3 linked regions of the Rhinolophus ferrumequinum genome follow. The protein of the gene in region 3 interacts with the protein of the main gene of each other region in a pairwise test. Links are inferred from orthologs where the notes say so. Each region holds a gene or a part of one and is shown on either strand. Other genes may lie near its edges.

The links.
Region 1: the proteins of SDCBP (region 3) and REEP6 interact in binary tests that used the Homo sapiens proteins (3 or more experiments, as listed by UniProt). The two-hybrid records come from large-scale screens. The link is inferred for Rhinolophus ferrumequinum from reciprocal best matches to the Homo sapiens genes SDCBP and REEP6.
Region 2: the proteins of SDCBP (region 3) and KCTD9 interact in binary tests that used the Homo sapiens proteins (3 or more experiments, as listed by UniProt). The two-hybrid records come from large-scale screens. The link is inferred for Rhinolophus ferrumequinum from reciprocal best matches to the Homo sapiens genes SDCBP and KCTD9.

Annotation. Positions count from the first base shown.
Region 1 is NC_046301.1:61,581,091-61,584,838, forward strand, and holds the start of REEP6 (receptor expression-enhancing protein 6), read right to left. Parts: upstream 2,497-3,748; 5' UTR 2,370-2,496; coding exon 2,255-2,369; intron 1-2,254. UniProt on the Homo sapiens protein: Required for correct function and survival of retinal photoreceptors. Required for retinal development.
Region 2 is NC_046301.1:41,690,275-41,694,022, reverse strand, and holds the start of KCTD9 (BTB/POZ domain-containing protein KCTD9), read right to left. Parts: upstream 2,427-3,748; 5' UTR 2,331-2,426; coding exon 2,283-2,330; intron 1-2,282. UniProt on the Homo sapiens protein: Substrate-specific adapter of a BCR (BTB-CUL3-RBX1) E3 ubiquitin-protein ligase complex, which mediates the ubiquitination of target proteins, leading to their degradation by the proteasome.
Region 3 is NC_046297.1:20,117,306-20,121,053, reverse strand, and holds the start of SDCBP (syntenin-1), read left to right. Parts: upstream 1-1,466; 5' UTR 1,467-1,606; intron 1,607-1,729; exon of another isoform or gene 1,730-1,749; intron 1,750-3,748. UniProt on the Homo sapiens protein: Multifunctional adapter protein involved in diverse array of functions including trafficking of transmembrane proteins, neuro and immunomodulation, exosome biogenesis, and tumorigenesis.

The sequences.
Region 1 (3,748 bases), on a different chromosome or scaffold from region 3:
CCAAGTGTCCTGAGGTAGCGCATGGTCCCGTTTGAGACCCCTTGTCTTAGTGGGAGGCAGCAAAGGGCAGTCTAGAGCCCCCAGACCTTGGAGAGCCCTCTGCTCCTCCACTCACTTACCATGTGACACTGAGCTTGGAGACTCAGTTTCCCCATCTGTCAATGGGGTGGTAGTGGCCCTGCCTCTTAGGGTTGTGGGTTTAGCTAAATACATTCAACACAGAAGACTCGTCCTTTCCACACATTACTGAGGGCCTCTGGTCACAGAAACACCAATAAGGCTCAGAGGAGAATAGTGTGGGAGTGGGGGCAGCCAGGAGCACTAGTCACTCTGAAAACAATGGTAACTGTCACATTTATTAAGTACTTCTTATGTATGGGGCTCTGTGCTTCCCTGTTCTGTCTCAGGCAATGAGAGAAGGAAGCAGGGCGAGAGGAACTTGCCCAGGGTCATTTGGGAGCATTTACAGCCTCCCGCCTCTTCCCCTGAGGCTGTTATCTGCAAAGAGAGAGAGAGAGAGACAGAGAGAGAGAGACAGAGAGAGAGAGAGAGAGAGAGAGGCCACTCATGGACCAAAGGGCAGAGTCACCCACACCCTTCCCTCCACCTGCATTAGTATCTATCGCAGTCTGGGGTCAGGAGTGGGAGGGGGTCCTCCCCAGCTGGCGCCTCTGGGTTTCCTATTACTTGGGAAGGGGGATTTGGCCATTTGGGGCAGGTGGGGTCCAAGGGTTCCCACATGTGGGTGAGGGGGTGGGGAAATGTCACCCCTTCTCTAGAAATCACTAGAGGGGGAGCAGCGGCTCTCCCAGGGCACCCCTCCCCTCAATCCCTATTCCTGCAGCCTCAGCAATGGGAGGATGACCTTGGACTTGGCGGGGGCACAACCTGAGATCAGCAACAGATGGGGCTCAGGGTAGGAGGGGTCGGGGGAGGGGTGGATATTCCAGTCAGGTCAGGTGGTAGGGGCAACCTCCCAACAGCCCCTGCCTCTCTGGGCCTTAGTTTCCTCCCTGTAACCACTAGCCTCCCTGGTGGGCCCCTCCCCAGTGCACTGTGACCTAAATCCCCCACCCATTGGTAGCAGGGATGTGGAAAGCCAGGCAGGAGGTCAATGGCTGGCTCCCAGGGGCAAGTCCTCGGCTGAGCTGACATGGGTTTGGCACTAGGAATCTGGGGGGGACAGATATCGAATCTTCCTTGAGCTGCTTGGCATGGGGATGCCCTGATTGATGGGGAAATGGGATGAAAGTGGATTCCCAGGATCTACAAATGGAAGGTGCTCAAAACATCTGTCATTGTCCTCACTTAAAGCCTTCCCCACCACTCCCACCCCAGCATCTTTGATTCATTCCAGGGGGGTTTCCTGGGAGAGGTGACAAAGTGGGTGGGACTGGTACACTGCAAAACAGGGAAGGAAGGCATTTAATGGGTGTTTACTGGACAGTTTTAGAAAGTGGCAGGAGCCACACCAGGCCATTGAGGAGGAAAGGAAGAGGAGGGACTGGAATGGAAGTTACAGTCAGATGTGGCTGGACCCCCTTCTTCCTGGGTCCCCATCCAAGCTTTCTCCAAAATGAACACAGCTGTCAAACAACCGAACTCCAACTCAACTATTCAACTCAACTATTCACGCAGAGTGGGTCAAAGCCCTTGGGCCACCAGGGGAGAGGGCAGGCCAAGGAGGGTACTAGCAGGAAAACAATGGGAGGGAAGGTGGACGTGACCTTTCCCTCCTGGCAGGGGGCATCCCTTCGGAAAACCGAGATCTCTACACTTGCTTTCAGGCTGGGGTCCATCAGGGACAGGGGTGGCCAGACTCAGGGCACTGGCTGCCTTCCTGCCCCCTTCTCCCCGGGGGACGGCAGGGCAACTGGAAGAACCGGACTTCGGCCTGGCAGGCACCCAAAGCCCTGAGGGAGGGGGCAGAGGACGGGCCTCCAGACCCGAGGGCCAGAATGGGCGTGCTGCGGGGGCTGAGAAAGGGGGGGCTCTCGCCTGAGGTCGCACGGCGGGGGCAGGAGAGGACCTGTAGCACACCGTGGTCCAGATCTACGACCCCTCCCCCGCCATGATCTAGGTCTACCCCCCGCGGTACAGCGGGGCACGCCCCGCCGTCCAGTCCGGACCCCGCAGCTTGGGCCAGCTGGAGTGGGGCAGGTCTGAGGCCCGGTTGCCCCAGGGTGCCCAGGGTTGCCTCAGTGTGCCCATCGGTGAAATGGGGCGGCGGCCCCGAGCGCCCCCGACGGCTCACCCGCGGCCAAGTACCGCTTGTCGACACCGGTCTTGGCTTCGAGCACCTCTAGCGCTTCGGTGGCCAAGTTCCTCTGTTCCAGAAGGCGCTCGAAGCGCTGGCGCAGGCCGTCCATGGTACCGGCCGTCCCGGGGCTGGCAACCCGAGCTCGACCGCAGCCCGGCGCACCGACCCTGCGGAGCGCGCGCTGTCTTCCCCCGAAGCGAGCCGCACCGCTCAGCCCCGGGGCTGGTCTCCGCCCCGGGGCTGGTCTCCACCCCCTGACCCTCGCACCGGCCAATGGGAGGGCAGGGCGGACAAAGGAGGTGGGGCCTGCCCCTTCTCCCCCGTCGCATTGCCCTCTGGCCCGCCGCGGCCGCCGCAGCCGCGACTCCAGAGGTAGGAGGCAGGGCGCGACGGCCGAGGGCGCCAATTGGCCGAGCGGGAGAGGGACGTAGCTGATTGGAGGGGCGGGGTCATAGCCTTGGATTATTGGCTGAGCCTTTGTGTGGGTGGAGCTGGGGAGGAGCGAAGCGTGCTGGGGTGGGCGGAACTGGTGGGTGGGGCCTGAGAAAAGCCCGAGCTGATTGGAGAAACGGGAAGAGATTCATTGGCAAGAATCAGAGGAGGGGCGGGGCTGGTCATAAAGGAGGCGGGACGGAATCTGAAGGGCGGAGCTAAATTGAAGAGGCGGGACTTACTCGAAAGAACGATTCTGGTTGGGCTGGAGAGGAGGCAGGGCTGATATTGTTTTAGTGGGAGGAGTATGTAGAAAAGCGGGCGGGGCTAAATAAAGGGGCGGGTCAATCATAGTAACAGTGAACCCGCTCCTCTGGGTCGGAAGAATTGGGTTATTGTACAAATGGGGAGACTCCAGAGGGTTTGGGTCTGCAAAAGACCAGGGAAAGCGTGTGTTCCCCCGCCCATTTCTGTCGGATCCTTGAGCCCCTGAATGGGGAGCCGCAAGGCCCCCTGGGAGTTGAAGCCTTTCAGGGGTTGCTATGGCGCCGGGGGCGGGGCGGGCTCTTGGACCAATTCGGCGGTTTGGCCAGGGGGAGGGATATTTGTAGACCCCGACCCCGCCCCCATCGCCATGCGGCCCGCCTGGACTGTTCTCTGGTTGCGCCTGGCTTTGACCCTGAGCCTGGTCCTCGTTTGTTTCCTGGCTGTGGGGTGGGCTTCGGCCCGGGTCCCCATCTATGTCAGCAGCTGGGCCGTGCGAGTGTCCCAGGGTTACCGGGAGGCCGAGCGCTTAGCCCGCAAATTCGGCTTCGTCAACCTGGGACAGGTGGGTGGGATCCGGATGGACGGGAAGGGGGCGGGGGCGAGACAACCCAAGACCCCAGGCCCCGACTGACAGGAGGGGGGGGGCCCCCAGGTACCCTCAAGAACCTCCAGTCCATCCCTTCTTCGACCAACTTCAGATTCTAGGACCCGCAGAGGGCACTCATAGCCTCCAAGTGGCCACCTGGTTGGGGGAGGAAGCAAGCAAAGGGGCTGGTCCCTGTCCTGCGG
Region 2 (3,748 bases), on a different chromosome or scaffold from region 3:
GTGTAATATTTCTTCTGAAACTCCCCTGGATCCCCTTGTCTAGCCTTTGTGGTGTACCATCTCACTGTTTTAAAGAATGCACAGCCCTCTCTTCTACCTCAAAACATTCACTAGTTACACTTGATTGTTTATTCATTAGTTACACAGAAAAGTCACAGTGAGCAGATTTCACCTGCAGTGACTGCCTCCCCCACCCAAGGCTTCATAGCCCAGTATGGCAACCACTGGATAAGCTTTACAGGAGGGAAATTTGAAAAACCAGACATTATTCTTATGACCAGGAAACAAAAATTGAAGCTAGGTAAATAAAGAGATAATGGGAGTGACACAGCTATTCCAACTGGTGGATGGGAAATCCAACTCTATTTCACAGTTGTGCTTTGTTCCATCATGTTTTTCATGAACATCAATGTCATGATCATGCCATCCTGGCTAACTATAATATAAATAAACTTTATTTATATTAACATGTAGGCTGTTATTATTCTGCTCTTTTTCTCAAATAATATATATATATATATTCGATGTTCCAGAATTATACATATATGTATAAATACATATATATATATATATATATATATATATATATATATATTTAATCAGCTGAAGGGAGAGGAAACACTGACAACTTTGGCATAGAATATGTTTTCCAGTTGAGTAGTAAGGATTATGGCATGACTTATTTTTAATATTGAATCATACTAGTATTCTCCAGTTTGGGGCTTTATGGATTTTTGTAACATAAACATATTTATCTTTATTTGAGATGTGTCTTCCAATCTTCTGAGATTCTCTAAAAATCTAACCTCATCAAAACTAGACAGCTTTAAAATTTTTATTAAAGATAGAGACAATCTTTGGCAATAACAAAATTCAGTGGTTTCAGAAGAGATTCATAGCACAGTTAAATATTTATGACTGGGTCTAAACATTTTGTCTTTCATGGAATAACATAGCAGAGATGTTGGGAAAAAGGTCAATCAGAGGTCTGGTTTTGAGAACATATTACAATTATAACTTTGGATATACTAAATCTTTCAATAACAATGTAAGTTTTAGGTTGTGAGTGGTAGTTAACAGACAAAACAGGTAGAGAAAGAAAAAGTTAATATGATCAGAAGTAATGTAAATCTTGCTAAGCATATTTTTAGGCAGCATTTATAAAAAACCCCAAAACTTGAATTTATGCCAGTTCTGTTTTATATGGGTATTAAATATCTAAAACCAGAAGAACACAAAATTATAGTCAACAAACTACACTGTGGTTCAGATTTTTAGAACATGTTTACTCAAAATTGCAGAATAGTTGGGAAACCACGTTTTATACCGTGGCACATTTACACTATTTAGAAATTTACAATATTTTCAAAATATGCAGAAGACAAAGCATGCTAGCAAATAATACAGTGAGGCCAATTTACCTTTACTTTAGACTCTAATGCTTAGTTACTTGTAGACGTCATTTAGACGCACCATAAATGTCTGCCTTGAACAGTCAAATTTTCCAAAGAAGCCCAACAACTTTCATGGGTGGGGCAAGAAGCTGAGAAGCAGCAGGATTCATTTTGGCTTGTTCTGGCGTTGGAAAAATGTTTAATACCACACCCTGAACAAAGGCCTAACACAGCAAGGAGTAATGTCAAATCAATCCATTTTGGCCTATTGTCAGAGTCCTCTAAGGAGCTAAAATAAGGCGAAATAACAGAGTACAGAAGTTTGGTGGCGGCGGGGGACCTCATGTCCCTAATTTTCAATCCTCTATGCGACCCAGAAGAATATTTCATTTATCCACTGATAAAGAGTTTAATTTTTACGCGGTCAACCTTACATGCCTCAGTTGTATCCACCACTTTTCTGGAGCAGAGCATTAGTCAGCACGAAGGTGGAAATAAGCGGCCTCAGTAGTCAGGGGAGGGGGGCAGCGGGGTCTTCCGGGAGGAGGTGGGAAGAGCGCTCAGTATCAAGCGATCAGGTGACAGCGACCCTCCGTAACCTGCGTTCTTCCCGCCCCATACCTGGACTTGTAAAGATCAAGCACAAGCTGACCTGCGCTAGTTCCTGGGGCGACTGGGGAGTAAAAGAGGCTCCAGCTAGAAATCCCGGGGTTGGGAGGAAGCCGCGGGGACCCGATGTTCACCTTCTAAACGCACCCCACACCGGCGCACGTCCACCTCCCAACCCCTCTCCCCAACTTCAGCCCTCTGCCCTAAGAGCCCGCTCCGCACTCCGTTGCCCACGCCCCCAGCAGCGAGGCCCTCTTCGCCTCCTCCGGACCCCCTTACCTTTCCATTCTTGGGGCTGCCATTAAGGAACAGGGTCACCCGCCTCATCGCGCTGCCCCCACTGGGTCCTGAGTGAGTCGCCACCCTCCCACCTGGCTTTCCTCCCACCTTTCTCTTCTCCCGCCCTTCCCCTCCCTCCTCCCACTCGAAATCTCCTCCCTTCGCCACCTTCCTTCTCTTACAGACACACACACGCACGCACTTTCCGTCCCACACCCCAGGGTTGGCCGGTCCTCCTGTCCACCCCGCCCCTGGGCTCCTCAGTCATCCTGGAGCCCTTCCCCCACCTCTCCCAGAGTGACTCTAAGCTCCACCAATCAACCGGCAGCATCGGCCAGCACTCAACCAATCAGCACCCTGCATTGGGTGGGCTCATACTAACCCACCCAGGTGGAGGGAGGGAAGAGAGGCTGCAGTCTGGCAGACGAGAAGGGTCATCAGCCAATCAGAGCAGAACCTGGAGCCCAACGGCGGGCTTAAAGCGTTACTGAGCAGGCGCAAACCCAAAACCAGGTAGAGCTCCTCTGCAGGCGGAGGCAGGGTTTGAGGGAAAGAGGTGGAGCGCGAGAAGTGACCCACACCAGTCGGCAACTCCCGGCTGCAACCCATCCAATCGCTCAACCCACAGAGGGAACGGCTGCCGTAGGGATGGCTGATTGGGTTAGAGCCATCCCGTCGTTCTGTCAGGATTGGTCAAATTATTCTTTTCGAAGTTTGCAGCATCCAATCGAAAGACGGGAGGCGGCTTCAAAGTGCCAACCGAAGGGTTCCTACGCGGAACTCTCACAGAAAATAGTCCCTGTGGACACAGGTTCGCAGCTGATCCCTTTGGTCAGTGCGCACCCACAACTAGCAATGGTTTCTCCCAGAGTCCACGAAGCTCCTGTTCCTGGGACGGCGAGGTAGAGGCCTGGGAGGGTTCTGGGTGCTCTCAGACACGTGCGGGTGGCGGCGGCGTACACATTCGTGGAGTAACGTCGAGACGCTGAGGAGGCGGGGCCGGCTATTTGAATCCCGCGGCGGGTGGCAGGAGTGCTGAGCTGAAGTGTAGGTACCGCGTACTGCGTGTTCCGGGTGTCGGTGAACGGTAAGAGGCAGCCCCCGGTGGCTGGCTTGCCGGCCAGCAGTTACTTTCTCGAGCTAACCCTTCAGGACCAAAGAGCCGTGCTCTAGAAGGCAGAGCAACCGCAATAGTCGAGTGCGGCGGAGCGTTCAGAATAAACCCAAGCGGGAGGAGAGCCAAACTGCGGGACTGAGAGGTGAGGCAAGTGCCCTGGTTTGACTTCATCGGCGTGTTTCTCAGAAGTGTGTTCTGTTTATCCGGCCCCACGGAAATAAGTGGTTTTCCTGCGACCTGAGCTGGACCACCCGTGTGCTTTCTAAAATGCAGGCCCCTGGGGCCCAGCCACACCTCCTGAATTAGAATATCTGGGAATACCCAGCTGCGTCTTTAGCTGGGTACCCCG
Region 3 (3,748 bases):
GGCCTCTGTATTCTATTTCTTGTCTCTGCATTCTGTTTCATTCATCTGTTTGTCTAGTCTTTTGCTAATAACACATTGTCTTGATTACATAGCTTAATGATGTAGGGCACTATTAGGCCTGTGACTTGGTTCTCTTCTTCGATATTATGTTGGCTCTTCTGGGATTTTTGTTGATATAAAAAAAATAACTAGGATTTTGATTGAGTCTGTGTCAAATCTATCAAGTTGAGAAGAACTGACATCTTGACAACACTGAATCTTACTATCTATGAACATGGAATATACTTCCATTTACTTGGATCTTTTATTTCATCAGGATTTTATAGTTTTACTCATATAGATCTTGTATATATTTTGTTAGATTTATACCAAAGTATTTCACTTTTTTGCATTAATATAAATGATAGTTTCTTTAATTTCAAATTCTAATCATTCACTGCTAGTATACAAAAAGCAATAATAGTTTTATGTATATTAAACTTGTACCATGCAAACTTGCTGTACTTGTGTATTAATTTTAGGTTTTTTTGGGGAGAGGGCCCAATTCTTTGGGATTGTGTACATAATCATGCCACCTGCGAACAAAAATGGTTTTATTTCTTTTTTCCCAATCTAGCGTGTAATTATTTTTAAATGTCTATTTTATCAACTAGACCATAAATTCTCTGAGGGCAGTGTTCATCTTATTTACTTGTCATCTCTTTTCTGCTCAGATTTTTATTAGAATTACCAGTTTATTGTGGCACTAAATAACAGCTAGACAAAAAATGCTTCTACGTTAATGCTATTTCGTATTCTATGTTACTCCATGGTAACTATGGTAAACTTAGGTAACTTAGGAAAGGTGTGCCTCAGTTTCTTTGTATGCTAATGCAGATGTTAGCTATTTTATAGATTGATGTGAGGACCAAATAAGACTATATACATCAAGTTCTTAGGGCAGTGCCTGGAACATAGTTAGCCCTGAAGAAATACAGTTTTCAGTTTTTATATTAGGATACAGAAATTTTGTGCAGGACTACACAACCTTCAACAGCCAATGAACTTTAGTTCAGATAGACAAAGAGTAATAAAAGTCAAAGAAATAAGTTGTAACACAAAGAGGGCAGGAGCTGAAAAAGGTTGGTGGGAGGAATGTTTCTGAGCCTGTGGGTGAAGAGGTTAGTGACCACAGTGGTGAAGTCCAAAGCTGGGGTAGGAATCTCCAAAAGATAGGTTCTTCGGAGTTTCTTTGTGTCGGAAGGGATGGGTACCACGTGACCAAGCGCCACGAACACAGCAGTGAGCAGGTGGCACCGGGCCCTTGGGCAGGAACTACTGAGAGGGTGGAGAAGGTGGTGAGCATAACCGGTGTCAGCGTGGGCGGCTCCACATTCTTCAATCCCGCACCCGGCCCGGTCACCGTTACCACACCGCTGCCCTGTTACCATGGGGACGGGTCACCTGACTGGGCATCGCGCGCCTGCGCGGGTGGACGGCGGGGGTGGTTCCGTGACGCGACTCGAGGGCGGTCTTCGGGCGCCCGCCGCTTTCCTCCCTTCGGGTCTCGGAAGTCCGTGCCAGTGACCGGAGGCGGCGGTGGCAGGAGCTGGTTTCCGCGGCCTAGGTAAGCATCGCTGAGGAGGAAGAGGGACGCTCAGGCTGCGTCCGGGGCGCGGGGACAAGGAGCGGAGGCGTGGGGACCCTGGATCACTAAGCGGAGAACGTCTACGGGTTTCGGGAGGTGCCGGCGGCGACGTCCTCTCCTCGGTGGGTTCCGCACCCCCCCGTGCGCCCTCCCGGGCCCGGGGTGAAAGTTTGCCTGAGCGGCGCGCTGTGCCTGCCTGCGACCCTGCGGGTGTCGTGGTCCCTCCCGGGCCGGGGCTGGGGACAGAGCCCTGAGGCCGGGCCCGGGGCGCCGCCGTCAGCCCCCGCCTCAGCTCTGGGACTCTTTCTCATTCCGGTCCTTGTCAACCCTTTTTGTTCTTCTTGGGTGAGATCCTCAGAGACCCGTGAAGAACGAGCCCGCTGGCTATGCTTCATCGACCCTCGCATTCCATGGGGTTGTACTTAATCACCTTCCTTGGTGGCACAATCGGAACGTCCGGGATTTGGTAGGAGGAGGAGGTTGTTTGTTGAGTGGGCGAAGCCTTGACTTTCTGGAAGGGGGCGTGGGGGGGAGGGGATTGTTCTCCGGGCCTGTTTCTGGAGAAATTGAAGGAGAGGGAAAAACGTTTCCAGTAGGGTGTGTTCAGAAGGAAGTATCCCTTGAGATCTCGTGACTCAGAGCTTTCATTTCAGGATTTCCTGGTAATAATGGGAAAAGTGAAGGCATATGGACGTAAAGTTTTCCTTTTCACTAAAGTGGAATTACTTAATCATGGAGTTTTCTAATGTGCCATTTTTTGAAAGGAATTTCTAGATTCCTCTTTTCTGTATATGTTGTCTGCATGCACATTTACTGTTATGTTTTCCATTAGTAAGTCCATTACTCAGAGAGTACACTTGGTTTACTAAATTCTTAACATGAACTTGCTTCAAAGAAGAAAACAATCGATTAAAAAGGAAAATTACACTGCATGCTCTTAGCTTTATATCAAATATATATTAAGTGATTTAACTCAAATTCCTCCAGTCTTTAGTTTTTCTATTTGCAGTTGAGGGCAAACGGTAAAAAAATAAATAAATAAAAGAGTTTATTTTCTGTTACCAACTTACCAAAAAAGTCTGTTCTACAAACTTTTATGTTTTAAATGGTACATTGATACAAATGATAGATCCAATGGTTTGTGCCACAGAATAAAAATAAAGAAGTGAAATGTCTTCTAAAAGGTTCAGGAAGTAGTTACTATAATACTTTAATCTAAATATAACTTTGACAACATTAATTTTGAGTTATGTTTGTGCGTTATAAGAAAGGATATAAAAATCATGACCCAAAGAGGAAGAATTTACTAATAGTGGCATTCGAATGAAGTAGTCAATAAACACTTCCTTAAATTGAGCATGACTCAACTATTTTTTTCCTGTTTTGTGGGATCTTTCGAAAAAGAAAGATCCCTCAAAATACTTTTAAAAATAATTCCTACATCTAGTAATAGTTATATTAGCACTTACTAATTTCTTTCTAACTCCTGCAAACATTTTTTTGGTATATTTATATAGATTTTGAGGAAGTAACCAGTAACATGGTTCAAAATTTAAGCAGTAAAAAAGGTATATGGTATAGTCTTCCTTCCTTCTAGGTTCTCCAGCCAACTATATTCCCTTGTAATAGGAGCCAGCTGTTTTACATTTCTTAGGTATCCATCTTGGGGTATTTTATACCTATACAGACAAACATACGTATAAATATATTTCCATCCTTTTCTTTTTTCCACTCTTTTTGTTGAGGTAAAATACACATAGTGTAAAGTTTCCCATTTTAACCATTTTAACTGTACAGTTCAGTGGTATTAAGTACATAGACGTTGTGCAACCATCACCACTACCATCCATCCCCAGAACTCTCTTCATCTTTAAAATTGGAACTATACCCATTAAACAGTAACTCCCCATTCTTTCCTCCCCCTGGCTCCTGGCAATCACCATTCTACTTTGTGTCTTTATGATGTTGACTAAGTACCTCATATAAGTGGAATCATACATTATTTGTCTTTCTGTGATTGGCTTCTTTCACTGACTGTGATGTCCTCAAGGTTCATCCATGTTGTAGTATATTGCAGAATTTTCTTCCATTTTAAGGCTGAATAATATTCCATTGTATATA